Linked DNA regions of Drosophila melanogaster. The protein of the gene in region 1 interacts with the protein of each later gene in a pairwise test. Each region holds a gene or a part of one and is shown on either strand. Other genes may lie near its edges.

Region 1 (10,680 bases):
AAAACCCGGCACACGGCACCCGGCATCCCGCATCCCGCATCCCTCACCCAATCCTCAACATTGTCAGGTGCTTACATGCGCCCCAAAATAGACGCATGCAGATTGAAATTGATGGCCCGGCAGAGGGCTTATTGCCCCAGCCACTTTCTAATGTTTAAGTTCTCGATTACACGACAAAAGCGGCTTTCCGGCAATTCAGCATTCCAAAAGGCCGGGATTACTATCTGGTGAAAAGTGCTTACCGGTTGCACTTCAAAATGCGATGGATAGCACAACGAAGTTCGGGTATCGGCAGAACATCAGATAAATTGGGGTACATATGGCCAGACGAAGCCGCTTTGCAGCTTAGCTGATAGAGAGCAAATGACAGGCGCCTAAAAAAAGGGTAACAAACTAGACGGAAAATTAGGCAACTAATCTCATTTCTTTACCTTTGCAAGGTAAGTCGCTTAAACTACGCACTGCATGTTTACTTAATGTTATATCACTTGCAAACAAAATAGCTTAAATAACTAATAAATATAAAAAAAAAAAAACAGCTTAAAGCCGACCTTGCGACTAAAAATAAAGAAAACATAATAAACTGCAGTCCATGGTACCAATCTATTAATACGAATACCTCACACACATGCGATTACCTCAAACAATCTCACCCAAATTGGACCAGACTCGACCAAATAAAAATAATACGACTTAGGCTAGGACACACAAACATAACCCACCAACACTACCTAAATCCCAATACAATACCAACTTGTCCGTTTTGTCAAGTTGATATTTCAATAAGCCACATATTAAATTCATGCCTATCCCTCCTACAAACCAAACAAGACATATTTAACAACACCAACCCTCTAGACCTTCTTAGCAAACCCAATCCAGATAACATACAAAAACTCATACTTTTCCTCAAAAAAACCAAATTATACCACAAAATCTAAAAACAAAACAGGCAATTGTACATAACAAGCCAGCAATTAGTTAGCAAATTAGATATAAACTAAATTAAGATATAATAACATTGTAAATAAATATAGTTAGTCTAGTTTTCAAACTATTCTATCTATCATAATAAATAAATAAATAAAAACTAATAAAACGAGAATTTTATGAAAGTATTAAACTTAAAGCCTTTACAACTCAATCTGTAATCATATTCTATTGTATGACTAATGATATTTTTTATTTCAATCGGTCCCTCTTGGAGCCTGATTAAATATATATGTATATATATATTTACCTTAAAACTAGGTGTCACAAGACATTACCAGGATATGTACTGATGCTAAGCCAAAGTAGCAACATATCAAATCACACCCAATCGAAAAATCCCTGCCTGCGGTTGCAAATTTGGCTTACTTCCTTCGGTCCGTGAGACAGCTCGAATAATATGCGACATGCTGAATTGATTGTATTGGCAACAAGTTGGGCCAGGACCCGGCTGTTCATCGATTCGTGCACATACCCACCACCCATGGGTTATCCTTGTGCCTGGCACCAGTCGACATCGGTTTGTATCCGTGTTTTCATCGCCAGCACAGCAAGTAGTTTTTCCCCGATTTTCCCCGTCGCTGGTGCATATAAACAAAGAGCGTTATAATAATACGCCATGCTCGACTAGATTGGGATTGCGCCAAGGAAGGTCGCTGTGGCTTACCAGTTTTCCATATCCACATCCTGTTCTCGTTTGGCTGGATATGTGGCCGAAAGTGGGGGCTGTGATGAAATTTGATGTGACATTGTTATCGCTGCAATACAACCGAACAACTGACAGTTTGTTTCCAGCTAATTGTGGGCCCTGCTCGATTTGTCCGGTCGGCACTCGGGAATTTCACGGGAAGAGAATCCGAACAATTTGTAATTTAAATTAACCAGCTGGCTGTGTTCCGTGTGTCCATTTGCGTTTTGCTCTCCAAGTCCGAGAATCCGATACAAATTGCATTTTTTCGCCGCTCCATCCCACATTGCCATAGCAATTTCGCTACAAAGTTTGGCTCTAAAAGGATCCTTGGTAAATTGTCGCAGAGCGGGGGAATTTTTATCAGCAGTCTTTGTGCAACCTTTGGCTGCATTCGCTGAATGAAGTTATTCAAAGGCTCTTGTTTATTACGCTGTATTTCTGTACGCCATTTTCCCTAAGTCCGTGCCAGCAGTGTCTCCCTGGGCTCGAGTCGCGCGAAAAGTCCGTGATTTGGGTCAAGTTAACATCGTTTCGCCTAAATGGGCCAAGTTGCTCAAGTTTCCCGGCCGCCTGTCATTTGCATCGATAAGCGGAGCTACTGCCCCAGCAGCAATAACAATACGTTCAGTAAGCCAAATAATCGCGTACAACACTCGCAGAAAAGAAGTATGTTATCTAAGCCTAAATGAGTCCTTTAAATCTTTCCCCTTATAGCTTAGTCATTAAGAATTTGGCTCTAAGTTAAGATCAAACTGCAAAATACTTATACAACCATTCAAAAAGGAACAATATATTGTGATCTCAATTTCCTGTTTATCCATCGATACATTTTTTTGGGTAGTGCTCAATCGCACACAGTTGCAGGCGGGGAAAGCAATTTGAGTCCTAATGAGCAGAGCAGCCAACTCACTAAAAAGGAAGGTCAAGTCTTTGTCCTGCCGATAAAAAATGATAAGCCAAAGGCGAAAGCGAAAGCGCTGCCGCAGCTGCTGGTCAAATTGCCGCGGCAGGGGCAAGGACACGTTTTAGTACACTGTTATACGGCCGTAGGACAGTCTGAAGGATACTGAGGCGGCGGGGCCCCACCCACATTTGCATGCGGCGCGCGTTCGCGGGGCTGATTCCTTTTATTTGGCCATTTTGGGGCCCTCGAACTGTGTTGATATTTTATTTTCATACATTTTTATGGGCTAGTAAGCAAATTGTCGGGCGGGGCATGGGCGGCGATGGGCGTGGCAGGGCGGGTGATCCCCGCCAATGATTTTAATGTGCAAGCCGATGATGGATTCAGAAGGCAAAAAGTGTAATTAATTTTAAAGCTCGGTCCCAGCTGAACCGACGATGGAGTACATGAATTGGGCAAATGACGTCCTTGCTTTGCCCGCAAATGAAATTGAACGCCCTCGTTCGGTAATCTCGGAAATAGGATTGAAATCCCGGGAAACTGAACACCCGAACAACCTGCCAACTGCCGACTCATTGTGCGTCAAATTAATGACAAAGTGAAATCCACAAAAAACCAGAACACGGAGCAGAGCGGGTAAAGTTTGCCGCCGTGACAAAGAGCTTTTCAAAACTGCGAGAATCAGCGGCAAGGCGGAAAGTCTACTATAGCTTACCCTATGCGGAAATTCCAGCCAGAGACCATATATGTATATGGTCATGCCACCAAAAACATCTGGACTAACTTAAAACCTAAAATGTTATATCTTTTTTATAATATGTTCCATTTCTCAGTTGGTATTCGTTACTTCCATTTGTTCATAGATTAATACCGAAACATGGGAAACCTGAACGTTACCATTTAATTTCAGCTTAGTGTTCTTCTGTTGCAAACCAAAAACGTTTTTTTCGCTCTGCCCAATCTTCTAAGTAATTTCCAATCCCCACCTGCTGACCACTAGTGGTCCATCGCAAGAATGGCCACAGGCTTTCGTCGGTTGGCGAGCGAATATCCTCGATGGGCGCAACTTTGCGCACGCAACCCGCAAAATTGCGAACGAAGTAAAGGCAGCGGGATTTCGCATTATTCCAAAAATGTTTCAAACGCAAACTAATCCCGGATGCAATTCGGATAGCAGTCGCCGCAGGAGAAGAACCACATCCGCCGCTCCGGATGGAAGCCAAAAGCGAATCTGCAGCCGAACGCACGCAACAGAATCAAAATCACAACCAATTTTGTAATGGCTGCGTACTGGCAAATTTGGCAAAATCCCATAAAATTTGGAAGGATGGTGGGTAGAGTGGGTAGAGTGGTCGGTAGGCGTGCCAATCCAATTGGAAAAATTACAAAACAGTCCGGTCAATTTCTGTCGAAGTGTCGGCATTACAAGAGGTATGGAAAACAAAGCGATACAAGTGGAAAATATGCTGTAAAATTGAACACTGTGCTGTGGGCAATTTTAAAACAGACGCAGTATCTTTAAGGCTCGGGCTCACCTTTTTCCTGTGAGATCCTGTGTGTGAGTGTGTGTATCCCCGTGGGTCCCTGACCTTTAGTTAACTTTTCATAATCGATGAGCTGGCGCATCTCATACAGGGAATGGCGGTCCCAATCACGCTCACTCCCACTTCCATGCCGAAGTCAACCCCCCAGACACAATAAAGGGTTTTCAACTTTGACCCTAGCCTTTTTATACTCGTATTCGCATATCCGCCCCTACCCACAGCAATAATAGCAAGTGTGGCTGGCGCAAAGTTTTGGCAGTCCAAAGTAGCTCAAGGAATATATTTTTTTAGGCCCAGCCTGCCGTTTCCGCCCTCTTCTCTCCTTTTTTTATACAGCCCCCTAGGGTGCGTCTGTGTGTGCCGCCGGATGGAATGTGGAGCGAAAAGTGTTTTAAAATGGGGATGCCCTGCTTTAACATAATGACCAACATTTCCAAGAGGTGAGTGCAAATGCTAGGCTGTTATTAGAAAAAAACAATGTAGCGAACGAGGAGGTATCCCCAAAGAACATAAAATAATCATAAGCATAATGAACGGGTTAGTATCTGTGGCTAAGGTTGCATAAATCTTAAGTTTTTAATTTACTTTTTCACACAGGGCCTGACCAACTTCAGATTGTTTAAGCTTGGCGCCCACTTTTATGGCAGTCAGCTTGTGCAAGAGACATAATAGTGTGACCTTAATTCTGTTTACCGTACCAAATTTAGTATATTTACTCTGCACTGTAATTTAAACTAATTTTATTATAGGGCAACACAAATAATATTTTTATAAAAACTGTAATTTGTTTTTATGGCTAGATATACAATAATTAAATCGTAAGTATGTCCTGTCATGTGCGTAGTAAGAAATAGTTAGAACTCATTACACTAATAAGATAGAATGAATTGAAACTTCGATAAACTTCGGTCGATATAATTTGGCCATCGATGAACGGTCACACTGGCACTGTGCTTGCAAAAATCAAAACAATCCCAAAATTTAAAAACAAATTATCCAACTTGAAGTTATCAAAATGACGCAGGACATGCTGCTGGGCAACGAGGAGCCGAGCAAGAGCAAGGAGACGTTCCTGGAGAAGTTCTGTGTCCTGGCCAAGTCATCCACCGGCGCCGCTTTGCTGGATGTGATTCGCCAGGCCCTGGAAGCCCCGAATGTCTTTGTTTTTGGCGAATTACTGGCGGAGCCATCCGTTTTGCAGGTGCGTCCATCAATGAAACACATTCTGGCAGTAACTTACCAACCACAAAACCACACATAGCTTAAAGACGGTCCGGACTCCAAGCACTTCGAGACCCTGAACCTATTCGCATACGGCACATACAAGGAATACCGTGCACAGCCGGAAAAGTTCATCGAGCTGACTCCTGCCATGCAGAAGAAGCTGCAGCACCTGACTATCGTCTCGCTGGCCATTAAAGCAAAGAGCATTCCCTATGCCCTGCTGCTCAGCGAACTGGAGATCGACAACGTCCGCCACTTGGAGGATATCATCATAGAGGCCATCTACGCGGGTGAGTTCGCCTAGGTGGATAGATTCAACTAGGTTTCAACTTTACAGCCCCGATGTAGTCTATACAATGTTGCATTACTTTTATTTGCGCAAAACTCATATAAAACAGTTGTTTCCACCTCTCAAAAGTCAAAAAAAAAAGTCCCTTTTCGCATGAAATCGATTTCACGGTTACTAGGGCATTCAACAAAAAAAGCTTTCCTCCTTTTCCTTTTGGGTTAAAAACGTATTCATTTTTCAGCTGAAAGTCCAGCCAATTCAGTGCCAAGCTGACAAATCTCGACCCTGCCTCGCTCCTCAGCTTGCATTATTAAATCAAATGCTAATTTTTGACTACTTCTCACCATGGAAAGGGCGCCTCCTCGTTCAATTAGCATTTTTCAGCAGCTGTACACCTGCGCCGGCGGCCCAGCAGCTGTGAAAGCAGTAGATTCATAAAGTTGTGCTGCCGTCTAGCGCCTCCCATTCCAGACCACCACACCCCGGCCACCGCCTTTGGGCAGTGCACTTGATTAGCCGGGACAGCTGGCGCATCCTGGCAAACGAAAACAATTGGGCGAAGAAACGAGGATTATGCTCGGCAAGATTCATTAAGCCACTCGTTATGGCGCCCCACCAGTTGATTCTGCCCAACTCATCCCCGCGGGGAAACAGTTTTTACTGTTGCCGACGTCGTCAGCTGGATGAACACTTTTGCCTCGATGATTTCCTTTTTGAGCTCACGCCTCAGTGGTGGCCGCCTACAATCAAACTTCGCTACGTAATTGCCACATAAAAAGTTTGCTCCAAGCGTAAGGTGAGGAATCACAAATCGTAAATATTTCCAACTGTGGGAAAATCTTTTGTCAAGATGCTGACCATTAGTAGTTTTGTATGTACCTAAATAGGAGTAATTTGATACGATTACAATCAGTGCATACAATTCTTAGAATCCTAATAGAGACTTGTAGCCTAAATTGTGCATTTGAAACTAACAGGCAATTAGCTGTTGCTATGACTCGCATATAGGAGACGATTGTTGGTAGATGATGTGCATAATTTGCCCACTGTTGCATAGAAACTTGAAATCCATCACTGTGCGCCGGCACAGCTGCATATTTACACAATTTGCACTTGTAGTTCCGGACCGAGGACCCAGTCTGCATTGTATGTCTGCTGAAAGCCTTAAATCAAACGCAACACCCAGAAGCCGGGGCCCAAATATCGCACTCGGAAACATCGTCCGTGTAAGCATACTTAGGGCCCTCGAATGTGGTGCTAAACTTGTTGGTGCTGTTGATTTTTGAGCTTTGGCCTGTGATCTATGGACCGGAATGAAAACAAACAGAGGCTGTGCTATATGGGGCTGGAAAACGAGCCTTTCAGGCGGATTTTTGGTTAGTCCTGTTCGGTTTTCAGCGGCTCCCGACAAGTGCCCACTCGACGTATGAAACAATCTAAACATACGTACCAGAACATTAGCGCTGGATAAGCAAATAGCGTGCAGAAGTTTTTAATGGACTCTTGGACGTCCATTATGTAAGCAAATAAAGTGACAACTCAACGCCATCTGCTCCTCGCAACATCGTCTCACCTGCCCTTCCTAATTGCTTTCCAAATCCAGGCAATGAACAGACAAATAAATTCCCCCGCCCCAGCGAAGATTTATGTTATGATAGCCATCATTAGAGCATCATTGCGGGTGGCAGGAGGCCAAGTGCCAGATGTCTGGCGGAATGCGAAATCATTGCGTTCTATTAGGCGCCGTAATCTGACATCGCAATTTAATGTAGTTGGCAACGGAGCGGGGCCTCCATTAGCCGGCGGGCAGGTTGAGTGGTTCTCTCGTCGCGATTCCAGGTCATCCCATTAGAGCATCATTTGTCTACCAGGACGCTGGGTTGGGGATATGGTAATTAAATGCCTTCTAGAATTCAAATTCGCCAGAAATTCATTTCGGCTCGTTCCATTAGTGGGACAGCTCTTGATTGTTTCGGCTTTGCTCAGTGTTTGGTTTACATTAATAGTACCTAAATTTATTTCAGATATAATAATAATAAGTAATAATAATAAGTATTCCCTCAAGTTAAGTTTTGTTACCTCTGAGGATATTTAGACAACATCATGTGCTTTAACTTGTATTTTAGTTCTTTGCTCTTTCTTTCATAGCAGTTCTACGAATGTTAATTAAGTTGTAAAAATAAGAGTAAGAGTGCGGATAACCGCCCTCAAAAATGTATTGTAAGCGAGAGTCTTTGGCATCTGCTCCTAAAATCGATAAGTCGAGCATTCCCCACCAGAACAGCCTCTGTGGTTTTCAATCTCCCAGGCATTTTCAAATATTTTCCCAACTGCTTCGAACTACTTTTTATGCAATAACATCCCGGCACCAGTAGCTGTATGCTGGGAATCGCACGAATATAAGCAAAACAGTTTGTGCACTCATGTCGAGGCGAGAGTGGTGGTTCGGAATGCCACCGAGTTCACCGAGGATTGCACCCTCGCTGTTGCCGTGTCGAGTTGCTGGGATTTACAGAATGTGTCGCAGAATGCGCCTTCTTGATTTTAGTTTTTTGGTGCACTTCTTTAATTTCTTTTGTGTGTCAAAGAAAAGTTTCGCATAATTCAGGGTGCTTAAGAGCGGCTTTTGAAGTAGCTTTCCACCGGGCCGGGGGATTTGCAATTCTGAGAGAAGTGGGATGAATTTGTTTGGGGGATGCACGGCGAAGTACCAAAGCGCTGGCCACTTGTGCATAACATTTTCTGAGTAGGCCGCAAAAAGTGTAAGCCCCTTTCGCAATCGGTTAATTAACAGTGTTCCAATGACGGGAACACTGCATGGAAAGCGGCTTTTATCCTCTGAAAAGCTGTTACATCAAAGGCCAGTTTACCTTAATGAACAAGCCGCGACCTTGCCGCAGAGCCGAGTACCCAAAAGAGACGCAGTTCGGACATAATTTGCTGCCCCCGCTCTAAATCCGGACGTATCCGTCTCCTCGGGACCCGCCGATTTTGCAGCTGCTTCTGATTGCATAGATTTCGGCGCCGGGAGCCCATTGCAGTGGGTTGCCCGGAAAACTTTGAGAAGGGCGAGTGTCTGTGGGTGGCTGCGCTGAGCACTTTGTCAGTTTTAGGTGAAAACTTTGCAGCAGCTTTATATTGATGGCACAAGTTTCCAGTCCGCTAGCTTGCGGTTGCAGCCCCGGGGTTCCCAAAAGAGCTGCTGCACTATATCAGTGAGTAAGGAGCTTAAACAACTATTTATTCCTAATTTTATTTGTATTGCGTACGGCAGTTTCCTTAACAATTAAAAAAAAAAAAAACAGAATCTAAATGCGTTCTTGCACGTTTCACTGTTTTGCGAACAGTGTCCATTTTAGGGGCTTATAGTGTCTGAAACAAAGAAAGTCCTGTTTTAATGAGAAGGATTTAATAATTAAGCAATTATAACTGCTGGAAGGCAGACAGCGTAGAAACAAACCCTTTTTCTGGAAACGCCTTTAACAAATTTTATCTTGTGCCGTTTGTCCTCGCCTGCTGCTGTCGTTCGGGTTTGCTCCGAATTTCAATTAATAAATTCTATTTCTCTGGGGCAGGTGGGGAACTGTTTGAAGAGTTGCCTAAGCTGTCAGCGACAGGTCCCCAGAACTCGGGGTCCTAATGGATCCTTTTACTTTTTAATGCGTAAATGGTATGAATACAGGTCCTATAACTTAAAAGTCTGTATGTGAGCCTATATGTCTGCTTCTTTGAGAGTCTTCTTTAAGGTGTATTTAGAACTAACTAATCTAACTTAGGACAGCCGGTTATAGCCTAATCGATGAAGAATTTGGATTTATTTTAGAATTGGATCTGTCTCCTTTACGTGGCGAAGGAAGCGTATAAAAACGGAGTAAATTGTCTTTTCAAACTGCGAATCCTAGAAATGTAACATTCTTTTCATGGCAACTTCAAATTCAAACGCTTTTTTCCCGAGTCACCAAAAGAGCACTCGCCGTGGTGGTCAAATTCCTGAAGGTTTTGTACCACGGACTGCGTTTTTTTAACGTTTCCATTCATTTCCAGATAGCCATAGCCACAGCCACAGCCATTGGATTTTCATCAGCATTTGCCATAGAACCACAGCCGTCGGCGGTTTGACATCATCGCCTTCTGCCGCTTCGAAGATTCATTCTGCTGTCCCTCAACGGCTTTTTCCGCAATTTGCGGGCGGAGCAGTAAGCATGATTGATTGCCCTGGCGTTGAATTTTCCGCACGCGACAGCAGGCGCCCACAGTTTTCACATGGCTGAAAATACAAGACACATGTCAGCGCCGGAAAACCACAGGCAGTTTACAGCACTTGTGGCCAAGGCGTCGCGCAACAGCGGAATCTGAAATTCCCCCATGTTTTCCAATTATTCGAGGCGCACTCGACGGCATCAAATCAATAAGCATTTTTGCGCCAACTCTCCAGCTAATTAGAAAAGTGTCTGACAAATTGTCAACCCAAATCGCAGGGCGTCTGAGCGAGTGGATGCGAGAAATTGAATCTTCGGGCGAATTCCCTGCATATTTGAGTGAATATTTATGACGCGAAGTCGGTGCCATAAACACAGAAACTTGGTCCGCAGACTTCGTCCCCAGTCCGAGTCCGACTTTCCGCCGACTCGCAGACTCAAGGACACAAGTGGTCGTAAAGTCAAAGGCAAAGAGCGCTCAAGGACTTAACTAGGGCTTAGCCATGGCCAAAACCGGCGAACGGAGAGGCGGCTGTCACTTAGCCACTTCCTCGGCCGAGCAAGTTAGTGCCTCGGGCCATAGTTCGGATCGGGGTAGAGGTAGTGGCAGAGGCAGAGGGGTTCAGTATTCGGGACTTTGGAACTGGGACTCAGACTCATGTCGGCACGGATGAAAACGATTCCAAATCCGCTTGCTGTAAATTGTAATCCCGCAGAGCAGCTACGAGCTAAACGACGAACGACGATTTCAAATTAATTACCCAAACTACTCCTGATGTCGGCCATCGCAGCAGAGTGCATTTTCCGCTTACGCCCGCTGGGCGGTGTATTTATTTGCC
Region 2 (10,624 bases), on another chromosome or scaffold:
GCCCGGCGGCAGTGGCAGTCCAGTCGATGGATAGAATCCAGATGGATCCTTCTGCACCTCCTGGCCATCAGCAGCAGACCGTGTGGTTGGCTCCAGTTCCGCACTGGGCGGTATATATTCCCTGGGCAGGTGACTCACATCTCCGTTGATCAGGGGCAGAAGTAGGACCACAACGGCCCATGGCTGCATCATCTCGAGCTCCGGTTTGATCTCTGGGAACTTGCACGGCGACGGTGGCTATGCGGCCACGGGCCCCAAATCCGCCATATATAAGACGGCATATCAACATATTACATAAATTCGCGGCCGGCTCATTTCACTTTCGCATTCGGCGAACGGAAATTGCTTTGCATCATCACAAAGGTTCCATAAATAATCGCCAATCCAAAGGTGATCGAAGGTGCGAGGGGAGGTGCCAAAACTGAACTATAAAATTTAATTTAGCGGCCGGATTTTACATAAATAAACTAACGCCGAAATCGAATGTTAAATTCAGCATCGCACAAAGAAAAGAGGCGATAATGAAAAAGATTCAATAAACGAAAAGAAAGAACAATGAAAGGGTAACATTTTATTTGATTTAGATTCAAGTTCTTGCTCAGCTTTATGATGAATATTAAATTTTAAAAATTACTACCTGAAAGCAAAAGGGTGTTAATTAAAAACAGGAAAAACGTCGAGGAGGTTCGTTTTATTTACTGTAATATACTAAATAATGGTTTTGAATGATTTCAAAAAGTCTTGAGTAAATAATTTTTCAGAAATGCCAAGCACTCTCAGAAAATGTATCTGCAAGTCATAGTTTTGAAATACTCAAAAGCTTAGTGTTAAAACTAGGAAAACCATAAAGTTTCATGCTATATTTAAACTAAAAGCTCTTTGAAAATGCTTAAAATAGTCGCAGCTTCCAAGTTTAATCAAAGCTGCAAGCTGTTTATAAAAAGCCCAACTTAATTAAAGCTTTATATTATATTTTTTAACGCTAATACTTAGTTAAAACATTGATGTATGTTAAATGTTTATGTTCTTGTCCTACAGGTTTTAGTGTTAACTAGTCGAAGAATTAAGCTTTTTAATTTTGAAAATTACCATTATAGACTAATGCCAATAAATCTTCTTTACTTTGTATGGACATATCATTCGTATACTTTATTATATTTTTATTGGCTTATAAAGTGCCACCTTTTGTCTACTCTGAAGTATTAAGCACCAACAAGCACTTGCTTTTGACGTTCGATTTTGAAAACGAACCGCACTCAAACCGCATCAAAACCGCAACAAAACCGCACCTAAACCGCAACCAAACCGCACTCAAGTCGCGCGTGGTTTTTAGTACGCTATTTTGGTATCCTGGTCCGGAATTTTGATATAAAGTGAATAGGGATACACTTGTTAAAAATTTTATTAATATTAATATTAGACGCTTGTTTTTATAACTCTGAAACCCATTTTAAAAACAAAAGTATTTATTTGGATTATTGATGTTTCGGTTTATTTCGTTGTAAACAAAAGTTTACAAAACAAAAAAAAAAAATATATGGTTAATTTGGGCAGTATGTAGTTATGGACACTGTTTCGTGTTCAGTTGCAGGCCTCTTCGTTGAAGATCCCTACTTCCTGTAGACGTAGCCACCGTTGGAGGCGTACTGGGTGCCCACATCCACGGAGGGTGCAGAGTAGCTCACCGATGGGGCGGAGTAGCTGACGGCAGGAGCGGAGTACGACTGCTGGACAGCAGGGGCGGAGTAGCTGACCGATGGAGCGGAGTACGACTGCTGGACAGCAGGGGCGGAGTAGCTGACCGATGGAGCGGAGTACGACTGCTGGACAGCAGGAGCGGAGTAGCTGACCGATGGAGCCGAGTAGCTCACAGAGGGTGCCGAGTAGCTAACAGAGGGGGCGGAGTAGGTCCTCTGGACAGCTGGTGCGGAGTAGGTCCTCTGGACGGCCGGTGCGGAGTAGGTCTGCACAGGAGGCAGGTACTCGTTGCTGGGGGCGACATACGACTGCTGGATGGCTGGAGCGGCGTAGGTCTGCTGCACGGCTGGTGCGGAGTAGCTCACCGAGGGAGCGGCGTACGAGCTCTGGACGGGGGGCAGGTACTCGTTGCTCAGGTGGCTAACATCGGCGGCCACGCAGGCGAACAGGGCGAAGGCAATAAGGAATTTCTGCAAGTAGGACAACACACTTCACACATTACAAACACAGCAAATTTTTTAAGCACCGCAAAAAAAAAAAAAATTTTGTCAAATAATATTGTTAAATCGATGTATCCTTGTTTCAAGCTGAACTTGTAATCCTTCACTGACCATCTTGAGTTGAGGTTTCTGCGTTTTCAAGCGACTGTGCTGGATGAGCTAGAGGCTGCGACTGATGCCGGTCCCTACCAGCCGCCAGTCAATTTATAGCTGCCGGCCGTCTTCGAAGAAAAGCCCCGGTTTTGGAGAGCCCGTTCCAACTGCAGCGGTGGCACACCGGCACTAACGGCAGACGCCGGGCAAGAAGAAGAGCAGGCTTAAGCGGCCAGCGGACCAAGAAGAAGCCGCCGCAAAAGACGTCACCATGAAATCAAGACAAACAAACGGCTGACTGGTGCTGAGGGGCTGAGGGGACATAGCCACATAAGTTGGCAGCTAATTGTGAAAACTGTTAAAAAGTTTAAGTATTTTCAATTAAGAATATGCTTCACTTATAATTGTTTATGTACACCAGACCGTTTGCAATGTTCAATTAAGTAGTAGTGGTAGCACAATGCAAAATAAGTAATAATATAAAAGATTTAGATACTAACATTTGAGCTAATCACCTATTTACAACTTAAAACTGCCGACTTGTTAAATATTTACTTACTTCTTAAAAACTGAGTTTTGAAAAAAAAATGGTAACTTGAAACGTTAACTAGCATAGATCATTGGCAGAGCTTACTTAGTTAGATGGTTTTGGCAATAAAATGGCTAAAATGGCAACACTAATCAGGGCGGAGGTTAAAAAGCATATATAGGGAGGGGGCTGGCTAAACTACCAAACGGAAAATCACATTAAAATTAAATTCAACATAAAAATCGAACGAAATCGCACATGCAAACGGGTTTGGCTCATTTACGATATTATATTTTTTTCCATCCACGCAACGGGTTTGCGGCGGGTGAACTACTTTGGGACACCTTTTTGTGGTCTCTTCAATCTGGCTTATTAGCGTCGGACTCAAGGGGAATGGAGGGAGGGAGGGGGGGGGGGGGGGTTTGTGCCGCACAAAGCCCAAAAAAAAGGGGGAAAAAAACTAAGGGGGTTCCACTAATTAACATTCAATTTAACACATTATACACCGGAGCAACCATTTTTCTTGTTTCAACCGCAGAAATGGGCCGGCGCACAAAAAGAGATCCATTTGGCCTCGTTCGAGACACTCGCCCAGATTGATGGCCCCCACAGAACGTCGTGTTTCGAAAAACGGAGCCCCACTCGCACTTTCTAAAAACCCATAAACACACAAAACCCATCAGTGGAGACCGACAGAAGATGGCCTTGAGAACAGACGCCGGCCGCCAGAGTTACGAGTTCCCCAGCGGTCTTTACATAATAAGTAACAACTTTTACTTGCTGCCACATCTCGAGCGTCTTTCCACTGTCCGTGAACTTGAAATGCAGCACAGCCAGAAATTTACAATTCAATAAATTTTTAGCAAGACCTTTGCAATTTTTGAATTAATATTCAAATCCATCAAACGTATTGATTCTCTTGCAACATTGTAGCATAGAAACATAAAGAGTAATTTTTTAAGATTATCTATGTATCATATTCGCAAGGTGGGTAACCTATTGACGATTTATAGCCCGTTCACATATGATTCGCCTGTGATTCGCCTGTGTCAATAATTAAAATCCATTTTTATATCGATTTCATTTATGATCACGTTGATGAATTATCTTCAAGTGTAAAAAAGGCAGGAAATGTCAAGCATGACGATGCCAAGCAAAATGTGATGGAAATTTCAGAGTTCATTGGTGATAACTTAACTTAACCATGGCCATTCTGAGAACTGCAAACAGTTATCCTTTTCAACAAGAGGTAATTAATGTTGGAAAATAGTAATTAATATTTATATATTAAGTACATTCATATTTCAACTTATAAATAAAATAAAGTTTCGATCTGGAATTGTTAGTATTAATTTTTTAACTTAAAACATACATTTTCCGAAAAAAGAAAATATACACAATAAAAACTATATTTCATAAAAATGATAAAAAAACATGCATAGTTAAAAGTTAATATTTATATGTTTATGTTTAATGCAAAATTGATTACTTGAGGCACGACGTGCGGTCATCTGCACCTAAGAATCGATGTCGACAATATCTACTCTAGATATTTATATATTCGAGTCTAGAGTTCCCATCTGCAAGGACATGACAAAGCTCTGGCAACCCTTTTAGCACGTGTCAAAAACTCAAAAAAAAAAGACGATGACTTTGCAGTCTAAAAGTCACATTTCTGATTTGGCGTGAGGACCTCAGTTGATTCACATCTCCAAGCGAATATTACTTAATATTATATTAATTAATATATTAATTTGTAAAGCACAGCATTTTCAAGGTGAGCATTTCAAGAGAATTCTTTTCCACGCACTTTACCCATACAAGTTAATAGGTTTTCCTAACGAAACAATGGATTTCAAGAAGCTGAAGAAAATGGAGGAGGTGGTGCGCATCGGCGGCAAAGGATCTATGCGCCGCAAGCATAAGAGATTCCCATCCTCGGCTGCGGCCGAGAAGCGCGTGCAAGCCACATTGGCCATGTTGCCGTTGAAGAATATCGACGAAATCGAGGAGGTGACCATCGAGTTCACCAATTCCAGTAAGGTTGTGTTAACCATGCCCAGGGTTCAGAGCACCGCTGGCAATTCTTTCTTCGTGGTTAGTGGCGATTTCGTGCGCAAGTCGTCAACAGCTGGCCCATCGAAAGTGGCCAAGGCAGCCAATGCGCCCAAGGCACCCATGCCACCTAAGCCACCCAAGCCGGAAGCTTTTTCCGACAAAAAGCCAGAATCAGAGGAGTCCATTAAGGTGGCCAAGAAGCCCAAGAAGCCGCGCAATCGTGTTCGTCCTCGCAACAAGAAGGTCCAAATGATGCTCTCCAAAAACAAAGAGGACGCAGCCATGGCTGGCTGGGATTCGGAGCCGAAGCTTAGCAATGGTAAACCAATTTTGATCTCCTCTGAAGATGGCAGCGATCCGGATAATGAGAAGGTGCCATCGGATGAGTCTGATGTGGATCGGACCATAGTCTGCGACAAAGATTCGCTGGGAAGCTTCGGCGATGATTCCGACGGCAAGGAGGACGTTGACACTACGGAGTCGATCTACCTGTCCTCCTACTCCAATTACTATTATTTGACGGAGCAGCTCTATCCAAATACTTATCGCGTTCAGGTCTCAGAGGACGAAGATTAGGCATATTCATTTGTTGCTACATTTGTACCAATTTCAAAAATAAATCGTATGAATTGAGAAAGTTGAGACAGAAAAAGGTTCCATATTCTATAGATTTGTACTTTAATCTCTTGGTGTTTATTGAAAGCATTGGTTTTCTCTACACTTATGGAAATTTTAATGATCTATAGTTCCAAAATAAAAAAAAGTTATAAATTTAAGATTATATTAGACTCTGTGGCTCTCAGTTATTTGTCTTAGTAAATATAGCCGCCGTTCGACGCGTACTGGGTCTCCTGGACGGATTTGGAGTAGCTGGCCTGCAAATGGGCAGGAGTAATGGTGTCGGCACCAATGGCCACGGGCACATGGGTATCGGGATTGAACTCCTCGATGCCATTCGATGTGGGTTCCTCGTACAGATGGGCAGGTGTGATCGTGTTCGCTCCAATGACGACTGGGGTTTGTCCCTGGACATAGGCGGCGATGGGTTGGGCGCTCTGGTAGGAACTGCTAGACGATCCGGCCACGATTGTCTTGGCCTGGCTATTAACGTAGCTCGTCTGGGAAACGGCGGATTGATAGGAACTGGAATCTGCCCCAGAAATAGCAGAGGCAGCGGTTGAGGCTACAACCGACTTTTTGAGTTGAGCTGGAGTGTATTCAGCGGGCTGGTAAGAGCTCGAATCTCCTCCGGGAACAGCCGCTCCCTGCTCTTGCTCTTGCTCCTGAATGTACTTGTAGTGGGCCTCTTGAACGTCCTGGGGAATGAACTTTTCAGGGGTGTAGGTATCAGCACCAATAGCAGCCGGAACTGGGGCATAGGTATCAGCACCAATAGCCGCCGGAACAGAAGCCTTAAGATGAGCTGGAGTGTATTCAGCGGGTTGGTAGGAGCTGGAATCACCACCAGGAACCACCTCAGCGGCCTTCAAGTGCTCGGGAGTGTATTCAGCGGGCTGATAAGAGCTGGAATCTCCTCCGGGAACAGCAGCTCCCTGCTCCTGCTCCTGATTGTACTTGTAGTGGGCCTCTTGAACGTCCTGGGGAATGAACTTCTCAGGGGTGTAGGTATCAGCACCAATAGCAGCCGGAACTGGGGCATAGGTATCAGCACCAATAGCCGCCGGAACAGCAGCCTTAAGATGAGCTGGAGTGTATTCAGCGGGTTGGTAGGAGCTGGAATCGCCACCAGGAACCACTTTGGCATCGACAGTGGCAGAAGAGGTCTGCTTAAGATAAGCAGGAGTGTATTCAGCGGGCTGGTAAGAGCTGGAATCTCCTCCGGGAACAGCAGCTCCCTGCTCCTGCTCCTGATTGTACTTGTAGTGGGCCTCTTGAACGTCCTGGGGAATGAACTTCTCAGGGGTGTAGGTATCAGCACCAATAGCAGCCGGAACTGGGGCATAGGTATCAGCACCAATAGCCGCCGGAACAGCAGCCTTAAGATGAGCTGGAGTGTATTCAGCGGGTTGGTAGGAGCTGGAATCACCACCAGGAACCACCTCCGCGGCCTTCAAGTGCTCGGGAGTATATTCAGCGGGCTGGTAAGAGCTGGAATCGCCACCAGGAACCACCTCAGCGGCCTTCAAGTGCTCGGGAGTGTATTCAGCGGGCTGATAAGAGCTGGAATCGACACCAGGAGCTACATCGACTGTCCTCAAGTGCTCGGGGGTGTATTCAGCAGGTTGGTAGGAGCTGGAATCACCTCCAGGAACTACATCGGCTGACTTGAGATGAGCTGGAGTATATTCAGCAGGCTGGTAGGAACTAGCATCGCCTCCGGGCACGACTTCTGCGGACTTTGAGTACTGGTAGGAGCTGGAATCACCACCTTGTACCACTTCCGAAGAAGAGGAGGAGGAGGAGGAGGGAGCAGATGACAAGGCGGTGAGTCCATAGCCTCCATCGGCGGCCAGTCCCAACTTAAGATGACTGACATCGGCGGCGGCAAGGCCGACAAAGGCCAAGGCAATGACGTAGAACTTCTGCAATCGGATTAAGTGGGTGTGGACAAAAGGGTGAGCTTGAGATAGATCAGGGTGGTGGCTGTGTTGACCGCGGTGGTTCCCCCTAGAACCGAAACTTACCATGTTTGGGCCAAATCTGTTGTTCAAAAGAGGGACGTTTCCAGTTTTTATACCCACAAAAGATTATGGGCCTATGCTAATTGGAGTTCTGTTTTGATCATCGCTTGATTTGGTCTGCCCAACTGCTAGTTTTTACCTATTATTAATTTGGGTTGCAAATTTGCATAGGTAGCATAACAAAAGCGGCGATCTTATCAACTTGATTAGAACCTCTTGGCATCCAAGCGCCTTGGCCTTTCCGTCAATTAAATTGTCGTCTGGTTTATACACTGTAAGAAAACTGCTCACATACATGGTAATTTCAAATTATTGGGATTTGGAATCAAAAGATCAACCGACATTGTGCTTCTTAGAATGAACTGAACTGATCGTTGCATTGGTTTTAAACATTTAGTTTGACAATTTAATGTTAAATAATAATATATCCTTCATTCATTTTTGTCTGTGTACTACAGTTGTACATCCTACAGATAGTATGCTAAAGCGCTTTTTAGCGCCTGGCAAGTTCAGCTGGGTGTCATAATCGGCTTGGTCCGGCAACCAGTTCTCCAACTTTGGCCAACAGTCTTAGATATGCCAATAAGTCTGCTAATTGGGCTTGGGGAAATCAATCGATGGATGCCTAAACATAACTATTTTGGTTAATTCGTATGACACAAGAGCGAACATGCTGTATACCCCGTAAAAGTAAAGCAAATAAGGTATACTCTTAATTTAATTTAATTATAAGTAATTCAGTGTGCCAACAAGAAATATCCAGTTTTGAATTAGTTACGCAAACATTTTGGCTGAATGAATTATAAAGATAACCTTTATATAAAGTTTCGGCAAACATTTTATGGGTAAATTTATTCGCTTAAACACGGTTCAGCTGATTTTATGGATCTCATTCCGCAAAATTAGCTTATCTTATTAACTTACTGACTTTCATAATAACGGTTGAAAGTGTGCAAAATCTCCAAAATACTTTGAAGCCAAAAGTGGAGCAATATAATAAGAAGACAAAAACGAGGTATTATATGACTACCGGATTCAAAAGTTCTGGCACACAAAAATCTAGCATAATTAACGAACATTGAACTGGGAGGGAAAAATTCGAAACTCGTTTATACCAAATCGGATATTTGTTTAATGATTGATTTTGTCAAAAAGATGAAAATAGATGGTCCGTCAATGGAGCTTATAACTTAATTGTATAGAAAATGTCTGAATTACTAATGATTGTGGCGATATTCAAATAATCATTATAAAAATTTATTTTTTATTTAAATCGGTTTACTTTAAATTTATAGGAAATAAATTATAATGTATTTTTTTTTTAATATTTGCACATACATTTGGTTGATGATGGCAATCTATTGGGGGGCTAGAAATAAAATTAAATTAATTTATTCAAAAAATGGCCATTTGCATGCTAATATTAAAACTGTCTAATAAAATATTACTTTTGTTAATTTATGTATGCTATATGTATGTTATGCCTAATATAAAAATATATAATTGCTAATAAAGCTCTTTAGTTATAGTTCCTATTTGAATATGTATTAACATATTGTAACTTTCCTACCATTTCTTTTGTTATTCCTACAGATTCATTGTGTTAATTATGTACATTTTAGATTTGATCGGACCTATTTTTACAGCACTTTGTCGTCCCGAAAATTGACTAAGAAAAAACCAGGAATTATATTTTAAGACTATGCTAATTTGTAGACCTGGCCAATGTTTTTGGCTAACTCGATTCGAGTCGTGTCTAGTATGAACCACTCCGAATGACTGAGATTCTTCGGCGATTCGCTTCGAAGCATCCAAACTCGTTTCGATCATCAACTTTAGGCCTGAAAATGTTCAAACTTAATGTCTTGCCATGTCTCTGGACTCCAGTTTTATTTTTGTTAGCCCATTCTTTGTCTTAATTGCGAAAATTTATGCTTTGAGTGCTGTAATTAAAAAGCAAGAACACGATGAAATATAAGCTTTAAATACATGTATGGCCTTTATGTAAAACAAATGTCAAAGCCAGACCGAAAACGAAAATCAGGTTGAGCGACTCAAGATTTATACATACGTGTGTGGTTAGATCTAAAATGTATGTTTTTAAGTCAATAAATATTTGTTTTCGTTCTTTCTCTTTTGTTGCCAAACAATAGATCAAGTTTGAAGCAGTGTTTATTCATTTATTGATATTGATTATGCATTTGTGAGGCAAAACTCGTTGGTGACTTAATAGAGGTGTGTATTCCAGATGGGAGCTCAGCCCTCAAGTATTTTTGCTTCCTCTTGGACTTGTGATAAAAAACAGATAAAAAAAAAATATATATATATATATTATTATCGAAATTATTAATCTGGAGTTACACAGATCTGATGTTAAGAGAAATTAAAATTAATTTTGCAAATAAACAAACTATCATATTAAGTATTTTAAAAAATTGCAATTTAATGCAAAAGAAAAATATCTATAAAAATGTAATCTATACTTTTGGTTTTCTTTCAATCATTGCTTTTCTCACAGTTCGAGGTTCCTATACCAGACACTTTCGGTTTCGCCATTGATATAGTTGAGTATCTTCTGGTAGCCGGTGTGGTTGGCTCTTTAAATATTTGTGCAGTTCACTTGCTTGAGGATGATGGCAAATATTTGGCCGGGGTCTCGGCCCTCGCCAGTGGCCATAAAACAATTGCGGAACCAGCGAAAAGACGCGACAAATTGTTTGGCCCAACAGCAAATGCAATCGCAACTTGCGAACTGGAGGCTGGACCCCTTTTTGGAGCCCCACGGCCCACCATCGTCCCCTTTTTGAAGGCACACATGAATGTTGGGCACACATGGTTTACCATGTATTTCGGCCACGTCTGGAGTTCGAATCAGCGACGATCGTTATGAGAAAAACGATGCTTGAATAAGACAGGCACGGTGAGCTCTTAAATAACGTTTGCCGAATTGCATTTCAGTTAAACAATTTTGCAAAAGCCCACAAAACGTTGTTTACACGCTGCCTTTGGCCAATTCCCCAACTGGAAAACTTGAGATGTGGGTGTGTGCCTCCATGTCTGAATCATCGATCTGACCATTTATGAGTGGCAGAGACTATCAATCT

What was found.
Region 2: the proteins of CSN7 (region 1) and betaNACtes1 interact in a two-hybrid assay, tested with the Drosophila melanogaster proteins (one large-scale study listed by BioGRID).

What each region holds. Positions count from the first base shown.
Region 1 is NT_033778.4:8,415,967-8,426,646, forward strand, and holds the start of CSN7 (COP9 signalosome subunit 7), read left to right. Parts: upstream 1-5,066; 5' UTR 5,067-5,144; coding exon 5,145-5,330; intron 5,331-5,390; coding exon 5,391-5,643; intron 5,644-10,680. Other genes in the region: CG43296 (uncharacterized protein), read right to left, coding at 1,307-1,571, 1,658-1,740. UniProt on the Drosophila melanogaster protein: Component of the COP9 signalosome complex (CSN), a complex involved in various cellular and developmental processes.
Region 2 is NC_004354.4:14,166,515-14,177,138, reverse strand, and holds betaNACtes1 (Nascent-associated complex beta-subunit-like, testis 1), read left to right. Parts: upstream 1-4,514; 5' UTR 4,515-4,597; intron 4,598-4,651; 5' UTR 4,652-4,668; coding exon 4,669-5,454; 3' UTR 5,455-5,652; downstream 5,653-10,624. Other genes in the region: CG11581 (uncharacterized protein), read right to left, coding at 1-192; CG1368 (uncharacterized protein), read right to left, coding at 1,611-2,168, 2,310-2,312; CG12480 (uncharacterized protein), read right to left, coding at 5,691-7,526.